Tribolium castaneum: one gene and its partner. The protein of the gene in region 2 purifies or fractionates together with the protein of the main gene of each other region. This does not show direct contact. Links are inferred from orthologs where the notes say so. Each region holds a gene or a part of one and is shown on either strand. Other genes may lie near its edges.

Evidence for each region.
Region 1: the proteins of Iml1 (region 2) and Wdr24 purify together in Homo sapiens (affinity purification with western blotting; 4 studies listed by BioGRID and IntAct, with this or other methods). This does not show direct contact. The link is inferred for Tribolium castaneum from reciprocal best matches to the Homo sapiens genes DEPDC5 and WDR24.

Annotation. Positions count from the first base shown.
Region 1 is NC_087395.1:26,690,823-26,695,352, forward strand, and holds the start of Wdr24 (GATOR2 complex protein WDR24), read right to left. Parts: upstream 2,980-4,530; 5' UTR 2,764-2,979; coding exon 2,673-2,763; intron 2,616-2,672; coding exon 2,499-2,615; intron 2,450-2,498; coding exon 2,013-2,449; intron 1,671-2,012; coding exon 1,422-1,670; intron 648-1,421; coding exon 490-647; intron 439-489; coding exon 1-438. Other genes in the region: RISC-loading complex subunit tarbp2, read left to right, coding at 4,483-4,509. UniProt on the Homo sapiens protein: Catalytic component of the GATOR2 complex, a multiprotein complex that acts as an activator of the amino acid-sensing branch of the mTORC1 signaling pathway. The GATOR2 complex indirectly activates mTORC1 through the inhibition of the GATOR1 subcomplex.
Region 2 is NC_087395.1:17,373,921-17,378,207, reverse strand, and holds the start of Iml1 (GATOR complex protein Iml1), read left to right. Parts: upstream 1-1,223; 5' UTR 1,224-1,444; coding exon 1,445-1,487; intron 1,488-1,536; coding exon 1,537-2,502; intron 2,503-2,551; coding exon 2,552-2,748; intron 2,749-4,287. Other genes in the region: dynein axonemal intermediate chain 4, read right to left, coding at 1-1,052. UniProt on the Homo sapiens protein: As a component of the GATOR1 complex functions as an inhibitor of the amino acid-sensing branch of the mTORC1 pathway.

The DNA of each region.
Region 1 (4,530 bases), about 9.3 Mb from region 2:
TAGATGGCGATGTGATCGACTTGATCTTCGTTTTCGGTCTCGTCGCTGAATTGAGCGGCAGGAGTGTCGCCACCACCACGCGATCTTTGATCGTTGTCATTATTATGATCCAAACCCATATTCAGAGGTAGGTTATTATGCGAAATCACATCTTCTCGATTATTGTTATTATTATTGCTATTGTTTTGTAAATACTCTTCGCCATACATCGTTTTCATTATTTTCCATACGACCGAAATTTGGTTTTTTCCGTATTGGTTTGCCACCGCCGAGTTATGTTCGCACATTTCGGATAAACTCCGTCCACTCAATATGTAATTCTTGGCTAAGCCAATAAAAATCTGTGATTCGGATTTGTTTTCGGTGGACAAGGTAAACTGATGCATTAAACTAGACGCTAGATGGAAAAGATCAGGTGCTTGAGTCGTTGATGTTTTCCTTCAAAATGACATTTTGCTTCATACTATAATTTTTTATTTCATTTTTTACCTTATTATACCAACTGATGGTGCTTTAACCAAGGTGCTAACATTGGTTTTGTGAGCGTACAAAATCTCGCCTCGATTATTTAACGAGACACCTTGGGGATTAGCTTTTTTCGCTGGCCGGCTAGCGTAATCGAACGAATGTTGATACAAAGTACTATCCTAAACAAACAAAAATTGTATACAGAAAGTTATATTTTAAAATATAGTTGTATTGATTAGCCTGATTATTTCTAAAGTTGGTATTAATGACACACAACGGGTGACTTAAAAATTGGGGCAAAAAAATCTACTGGCAACATTGAGCTTATTGGTGGATATGGTTTTTGTTTATCTACTGCCAAGGATGCGCTACCACCTTCAACTTTTTTTTTCAAATGTAACGGAATGTCAAGAGTACTTCAAAAGCAGTACAACACACTATTTGTTTTTTGAATACTTCCAAAGCCTACATGATAAAAAAATAAAAACCAATTTTTATTAATTGAAATTAGGTAAATCACACTCGAAATGTTACAAAATGGTAAAACTTTAACATATAAATTTGATAGTCAAAGTTGCCAAATTAAGATTTCAAATCTGTTGGCCAATCTAACGACAAGAATTCACAATCTTTAATAGGCTCCCGGTAGTTTTTTTAAAATTTTTTCTACTAGATTATACTTTAAATGATTCGTTAAATGGTTGTGACCTGTACTTTAATGAAACTCATTAAGTGTGGCGACCACAAAGACAACTTGTGACCAATGAGAATGTAATATGGCAGCAACTATTTTTAGATTTCCTTGAGCGTTTGACAATAGGCTAATATTTAAAAATAAATTTGACACTTAAAATCGTATTTTTTTTATATTAACTGGGCGGATCGTAATGTACGCTGTTCGCATTTAATGGCTATTAAAACATATAAAATACTATTTACTGAAAAAGTCATACCCGACCACTGCTGAGGAAAACATGAGGATCTTCTTTCCAAGCCACTCCACTTGGAGTATCCTTGTGTTCATTGAAAGAGGCATAAGGAATGTAGGGCCTCCTCACATCCCAAATATTTATACTACAGTCAACAACTAAAGCACATGAAGCTATATGAAACCGCCGTTGAGGGCGCCATTTGACATGTCCTATTGAAGCTATAGTATGAATGGTATATTCTAAAGTCAGTTTACTTGTCAAATCCCAGACCTAATAAAACGCGCATTTTATAAATATTTAAATCAAAACATCTTTAATGGACAGAGAATTTCATTTTTACCTCGCGGCTCTTATATTGATTGGGATTAAATACATACATATTATGTATCAATGTGACATTATTTCTGAAGTTAGTATACATCTAGGGTATACATCAAATTTAAAGTCAAACTGACAGTTTATTATTCAAATTAAAGTTTCAGCAATTTTCAAATATCACCCCATGTATTTTGTCCCATTTCTATTTTTTTAAGCCGTGAAATTTCATAATGCAACTAGCCGTTTATAAACAAAGTTCCCCATCTTTCAAAGACATTTTTAAAGAATACAAACTTTGATAGTTTTATCTCTACTGGCTGTGGCCAGCCACGTGTTCTCCGGATGCCAATCGCAGGCAAAAATGGGTCCACTGTGTGCAGCAAATTGCTGTTGGCATTTATCAGATCTTCTTACATCCCATAGTTGGACGCTTCCGTTTTCCGAAACGGCCGCAAAAGTATATGGATTATGAGGGCTGAACTGCACATCGCGGACACTCTCTGTGTTACTGTAAAAAATAGCAACTGCGTTTTTGGCGCGGATATCAAAATAACGCATCGTGCCATCTTGAGAGCCGGATATGAGTCTGTTTGGTTCACTGGCGTGAAAATTCACTTTGTTTACTGTACGTTTGTGTTCTTGATAATCTTGTTCTTGCATTGCTTTGCCCATTTTTGTGAGATTCCAAACACAGACATGGCCGTTGGTGGCGGCGGTCGCCAAATAATGGTCTGAAAACGAACAGTTATTGAACAAACTGTATGCACCTTCAAGTACTACCATCAGTCCAACTCCACGAAACATCGTTGCAAGAAAAGCTCAGATTGAGGTGTTTGGATGCTCGCAAGTTGCACACTTCGCGGAATTTGTCTTCTTCAATTGTGTAAACTTTGAACACTACAAAAATAAGTGCTTTGTAATGAATGAACAATTTTTCCTTTTAATTTGTGCTACCATTGCGTCCACCAATTGCCACTTGAGTATTGTCTCTATTTAAGGCTAAAGCATTTACAGGACCTTCTTGCAAAACGTGAAATGTAGCCATTGTTTACATATTCTTGACACTTCTTTGATAAAATCCAGCGATTTATAAATTTGACACTGATAAAGTTTAATTTATAATTACTACGTTCAGTCACGCGTTTACTTAGTCATTTTTTATTATAAAGAAATAGTTTTTAGTCATTTTTTTATATTTAACAAAAAAATGCGAGGTTAAAAGGAATAACCTAAAAACGTCAAGTCTGACGTTTCACGTTTCCTAGAAATCAGTAGCTTCCAAACAATTACCAGTTATAGCCATACAATACAACAGAGAAGCAGTACATTTTAATAATCAGAAGGGAAAAAGTGATTGTTATTAAAACATTTTATTTGGGTTAAATAAATGTTACATAACATATTTTTTACTTATCTGGGTGGTGGTGCCACCAAATCATAATTATAATTATCTCCGAGTGTGTAATAATTTTTACCATCATCATCTTTGGCCCAATTATTGAAGGGCGATGGTGGTTGTTTATGAACAACTTTAACAGGGGCAGACTTAAGTCCCATTCTGATGTATCCCACGATTGATGACATAATTAAACTCATAGTACTTAAAAGTATTGCAATGCTTGACATTACGGCCATAGTTTTAAAAGCTAACGGAAAAATAATAGATTTGATCATTAAAGCTCCGAAAAGAAGTGGTACAGTGTATTTGCTGCCACCTCCTTTTTTCTTTTTACGCGCTCCTTCCATTTCTAAAATTTTAAATTAGAAGAATTACACAATAGTATACAGTAACTTTTTTATTAAGTTTTCTTACCATTTGTAGCAATGAAACTGTCGAAGATAATTTCAGAGCTTGGAGAGAATGTTAACAAAAATACAAATACCAAAACAAGCGTTCGTAAACGCATCTTGGTCAGAAATGAGGATCTTGTGTGATTTTTTTACAGTCTAGTTGGTCGTAAATAGGCTAAGAATATGACAATTTTAAAATTACACATTTTTAAATAGTTTTCAAGCGGAAAATTGGGCGATTTGTGATTACTTTGACAAGAGGATGTTAAGAGATGTGTAATTGTAAATAAAATACATCAGTAAAAAGTAAAAATTATTGTTTTTGGATCAAATTTATTATTATTATCTTGCAAATATTAAAAAATAGTGAAATGACCAAAATTCATGTTGGTAACCACATTTTTCGTCGTTTATGGATTTCTAAAAAGAACAAAAGTTGGTAGCAACGAATTCCCGCTAAGTGGCGCTACTGTAGAATGTTACTTCTTCGCATGCGAACTGTTTAACCATTTGACGTTTGTGTCCATCAAAAAACGTCGCCATTACAGTGTTTATAGCGACGATTGTATTTCAAAGTGTAATAAAAAATTCTAAATAATTGTAAGTAATTTTACTGTTTTACATATAATTTTGCTACAATAGAGTTGTGTTGTCTATTGCGAATTATGGGTTGTTAGTGGAATATTTATGAACCTTCTTTACCGGCTCTTTTTACAAAAATTATAATAACAAAAAAATTTGGAGTAAATTTGTATTTTAAGTACCGAAACTAATAGTTTTAGTTAAAAATTTTGACCGTTGCTTTAGGGGTGTGAATGCGAAGGGGTCGCTTTGTTGAAACCGTTACCAGTTTCTCTCTCTTTTCTTTTGTGTTGTTGATTTAAAATCTTTGAGTTGTGTAGGGCGAATGGAATATAATTTGCTCGTTTTCTTCAGTACGGGAAGCGGAAATTAAGGGCCGACAAGCGGCGAGATGTTTGTACCTCCGCCAGTTGAACAGGTAAAGAAATTTAAAAAAATC
Region 2 (4,287 bases):
AAGGCTGGTAACCCTTTCAGCTTCCCTTCAATTTTATCCGTCCTCATAATTTGTACACACTCGAGCTTCGCTTGGGTCACCAAGTACTTGCAAACCCGACCGTCGCCGAAACAAACCAGGAGAAATTCCTTCTGGTTTTGCTCCAGCCATACCATGTTCCAGGCCGGTTTAAACGAAGTGCTAGAGTCCTCCCCAACCATCTCAAAGTCCCTTTTGCTGACATCTATAACTAGGAGCTCCCCATTGTAGAACCCAACAGCCAGATAGTTCGGGTCTTTTGTTGAAAACGCAAGGGACGTGACCGGGTGTCTGAAGTAGTACTCGCGCTCGGGCTGTTTGGGATTTTTTATGTTCCACACCATCACAACCCCGGTCTTTCTCCGGTCAATAAAATAGTACTTGCCATAGCCCACAGCTACCATATCTTCGGTGAAAGAATTGAACGAGATCCCGGTAACGCACCTATTTTTCGTGTCTTCGTTGGCGAAAGTCCACAGCAAGTCCAGCTTGTAATCGTAGCGGATTTCCTCGGCCTCGTCCACCAACCCTTTGAACTTCTTCTGTTCGTTGTTGTAACAATTGTTGGCCAAAAGGCGTTCAATTACTAGAACAGCGTCGAAGTAGTTTTTATTCACTGACAACTTCTCCAACTCTTTGGTCTCTCGACTCTTCCTTAGTTCATCCAAAGACACTTCCGCAATTAACTCATGGTCGTTTGTTTCCTCCAACTCAACACTTTCAACAAAACTGGCATTGTAGGTATCATACATCTCCCAGTTTGAAGCAAACGTTGAGTTGTCCCTGAACTTGTACTGGACGGGTTCCGTGTTTCGCGTTTTCATTAAAACAGGCCTCGTTTGTACTCCAGTTGTTGCAACTTTGCGATTACGCCCTTTACCCTTTGTTAAGTATTCGTAAAGGCGGTTGTCCATCTCGGCGGCTTCGCCCTCGTCAGTGTCCCGCGGGACCACAGAACTTGGAAGTTCAAGCAAGAAAAGGGTTTCCGTCTCGTTTAACACAATAGTCACATGTTTTGGGATTTTTCGCAGCATTTTTAGCCAAAAAAAGTTTGATCAATTCTACCCCATTTATTTAAAATCGCTACCAACCCAACTTCAATACTCGACTAATTTTTAACACAGCGTAGGTGCCTCTGGTCTAGTTTTTATCTTGTTGCAAGGTGTTGGTCGTTGCGGTAACTTGTTGCTTGTTTATTGTCTAACCTCAAAAGTGACATTTTACAGTGAATGTCAAGACATAAATTATCATTTTTTAATCGAAATTAAAATGTTAATGCGATAGTTTGTAACATAATTAGTGTGTTATGTTGGTGGGGACTGTTAATTTTACATTTGGCACTTCTCGTCCCCCGTGCGATGAAAAACAATACGATGCAAAGTTCATGTGTGATTAGTTTACAAAAATAGAAGCAAACAATAACATCATGAAATTGTTTCGTCTTATCGTCCACCAGAAGAATTTCAGTGGTATGAGTCGAACAAGTTGTGACCGGTCAAGGTCAGTTGTTTTTTCCAGCTGAGGATTTAATCATCAACCCTAAAGACTACCCCGGTGCTAATTTGGGCGATATTGTGGAGATTTACCACCCGCCACCCGACGATGACAACCCACGTGGTAAGAAGAAGAGCGAGCCTGAGGAAGAATACCCAAGGTTGTTGCTCCAAATTAAAACGTTTCCGGACGATACAACCCAGCAAAATGCCTTACAAAAAGACACAATCAGCGTGGAGCAGAGCATAGCTCAGGCTTTCGGTCTGCAGGCGTACAAGAACGTGATAATCCGTATTGTGGACCCGCCTGACATTGCGCTTGACTCAATTGAACTTACCTTTAAAGACCAGTACATGGGGCGCTCTGAGATGTGGCGCTTGAAAAACAGTCTTATTAACACTTGTGTGTACATCAAAAAGAACATTGAGTTCTGTGGGGGCGCTGTGCGTTGCCAGGTCTACGAGATGTGGTCAATGGGCGACAGAGTCGCTTGTGGGGTTATCACAGAAGACACGAAAGTCGTTTTCCGCTCCTCCACATCCATGGTTTATCTCTTCCTGCAAATGTCGTCGGAAATGTGGGACTTTGATATTTACGGCGACTTGTACTTCGAAAAAGCCGTGAACGGGTTTTTGGCCGATTTGTTCATGAAGTGGAAGAAGAACGGGAGCAACCACGAAGTGACGATTGTTTTGTTTTCCCGCACGTTTTACGAAGCGAGTAACTTGGAGGCGTTCCCTCTCCACATGCGAGAGTGTCTCCAGAAGGATTACAAAGGCCGATACTACGAGGATTTTTACAGGGTTGCGGTCCAGAACGAGCGCTATGACGACTGGAGCGGGATTTTGGTCCAGTTAAGGCGAATTTTTTCCGAATATTTGAAAATTGTCCTCGAGTATCACAAAAGGCCAGGGTTGGATATTCCAGCTGCGACGAACAGTACAGCAGCTCAGGGGAATTTTCTAGAGGTGTTAAACATGTCCCTGAATGGTATTTATTTGTGGTCATGGTTTATACATTCTGATTGTTTTTTTCTCAGTTTTTGAGAAGCATTATTTGGATCGAAGTTTTGATAGGACTGGGCAACTCAGTGTTGTGGTTACACCGGGTGTTGGTGTTTTTGAAGTTGATCGAGAGTTGACTAATATTACGAAACAGAGAATTATCGATAATGGGGTTGGGAGTGATTTGGTGTGTGTTGGGGAACAGCCACTGCACGCAGTTCCGCTTCTAAAGGTATTATTTGATTTAATAGGAGGGCTTAATGACCGGATTTTTTTGCCTTAAGTGCCAGTTGAAAAAAAAAACAAACCCAAAACGAACATATTTATTTCGCAAAAAAATGTTATTTTTTAAGCTTGTAATTTCGTATTTCCAGTTAAGTCGTATGTCATAAAATACTTATTGAAGGTAGCTAACATATAAAAGAATTTTGTTATTTAATTCTATTACTGTTAAGTAGACGGAATGGGAATTAGGTACGTCTGCATAAGTATTAAAACATAACCAAATTAGTTGGTCAAAAATTGTTATTATTTTACTAGAATACACATAAATATTACATAATAATTAATAAGCTTATAAGTATTAACGTAATAACACTTTAACTAAAGATAAACAAAAAAATTGATATGAAAAAAATTAAATAATAATAATTATTATTATTATTAATGAAATATATTTATATTAATGACTAATGAAATGATGAATAATTTAATTACTTGTTGGATTGATAATTCAAGGATTCGTAACATGATAACTAAATATAAAATCTCGCTAGAAAACAATCTTTATTTATGTAATAATTATTTTAATACTTTAATTTGCTCAAATGACCTAGCAGATCCAAAGGAATCAATTATGTAATGGGAACTATAGATGTATAACAGAAAGAAAAAAAAAGAAAGTAAGGAAGAATCAGTAACTATTTTAAATGAAAAAAACAGATTCTAAAGAAAAGGTTACTTGTGATCTTTTTATAATAATAATAACAATATAATAATAATAATAATGTTTTTTCAAATATTTTCCAGAAAACAAAGCACTGTAGCACTGCATGAGTATAATTATAAAAGGCGCTCCGAATTAAAATGTTTTATTGTTTTTTTAAATGAATTGATATTTAGATCCTTTATTTTGTTGGGCAAAAGATTATAAAATTTTATAGAGTGATGTTTCATTGCTGTTTTTGTTCGCGTTAGTCGAATCTCATTTTGACAAATTTTTTCCTTGCAATTGTAATCATGATAATAACCATTGGAATTTTTTTATAGATGTTAGACTTTAGGTATAGTACACATAAATAAAAAACAGTGACGGCAAGGTTAATACTTATAATTTTTTGAAGGCCTCTTTGCAGTCAGCCCGATAGGGTATGCCAGCAACAACGCGAATCGCACGCCTGTGAAGAGAAAAAATACGATATAAACAGGATGAATGTCCCCAAACTTTTAAGCCATACGATTTTATTAGAGAGTATTAGAGTAAATTACATGCCAAGTAACTAATTAGGAGTACGAAATTATATTTTTGGCTTCTAAAGATATTATTAATTCGTTGTTATTGCTTTTTGTTAGGACTTACTCCTTTTATCTCAAAAATTTGAGATTTTTGGATTGAAAATAAAAATAAATACCTATCCCAAATAATTTTTATTTTTCAGACAAGACAAGACTACACTGTTTACTGTAATTTTTAATACTACAAGAAAAGTAACCATCGTGGAATTTTTTAGTTACTTGGATGAGCTAGTGAGCTAGATATCACCGTTTATAA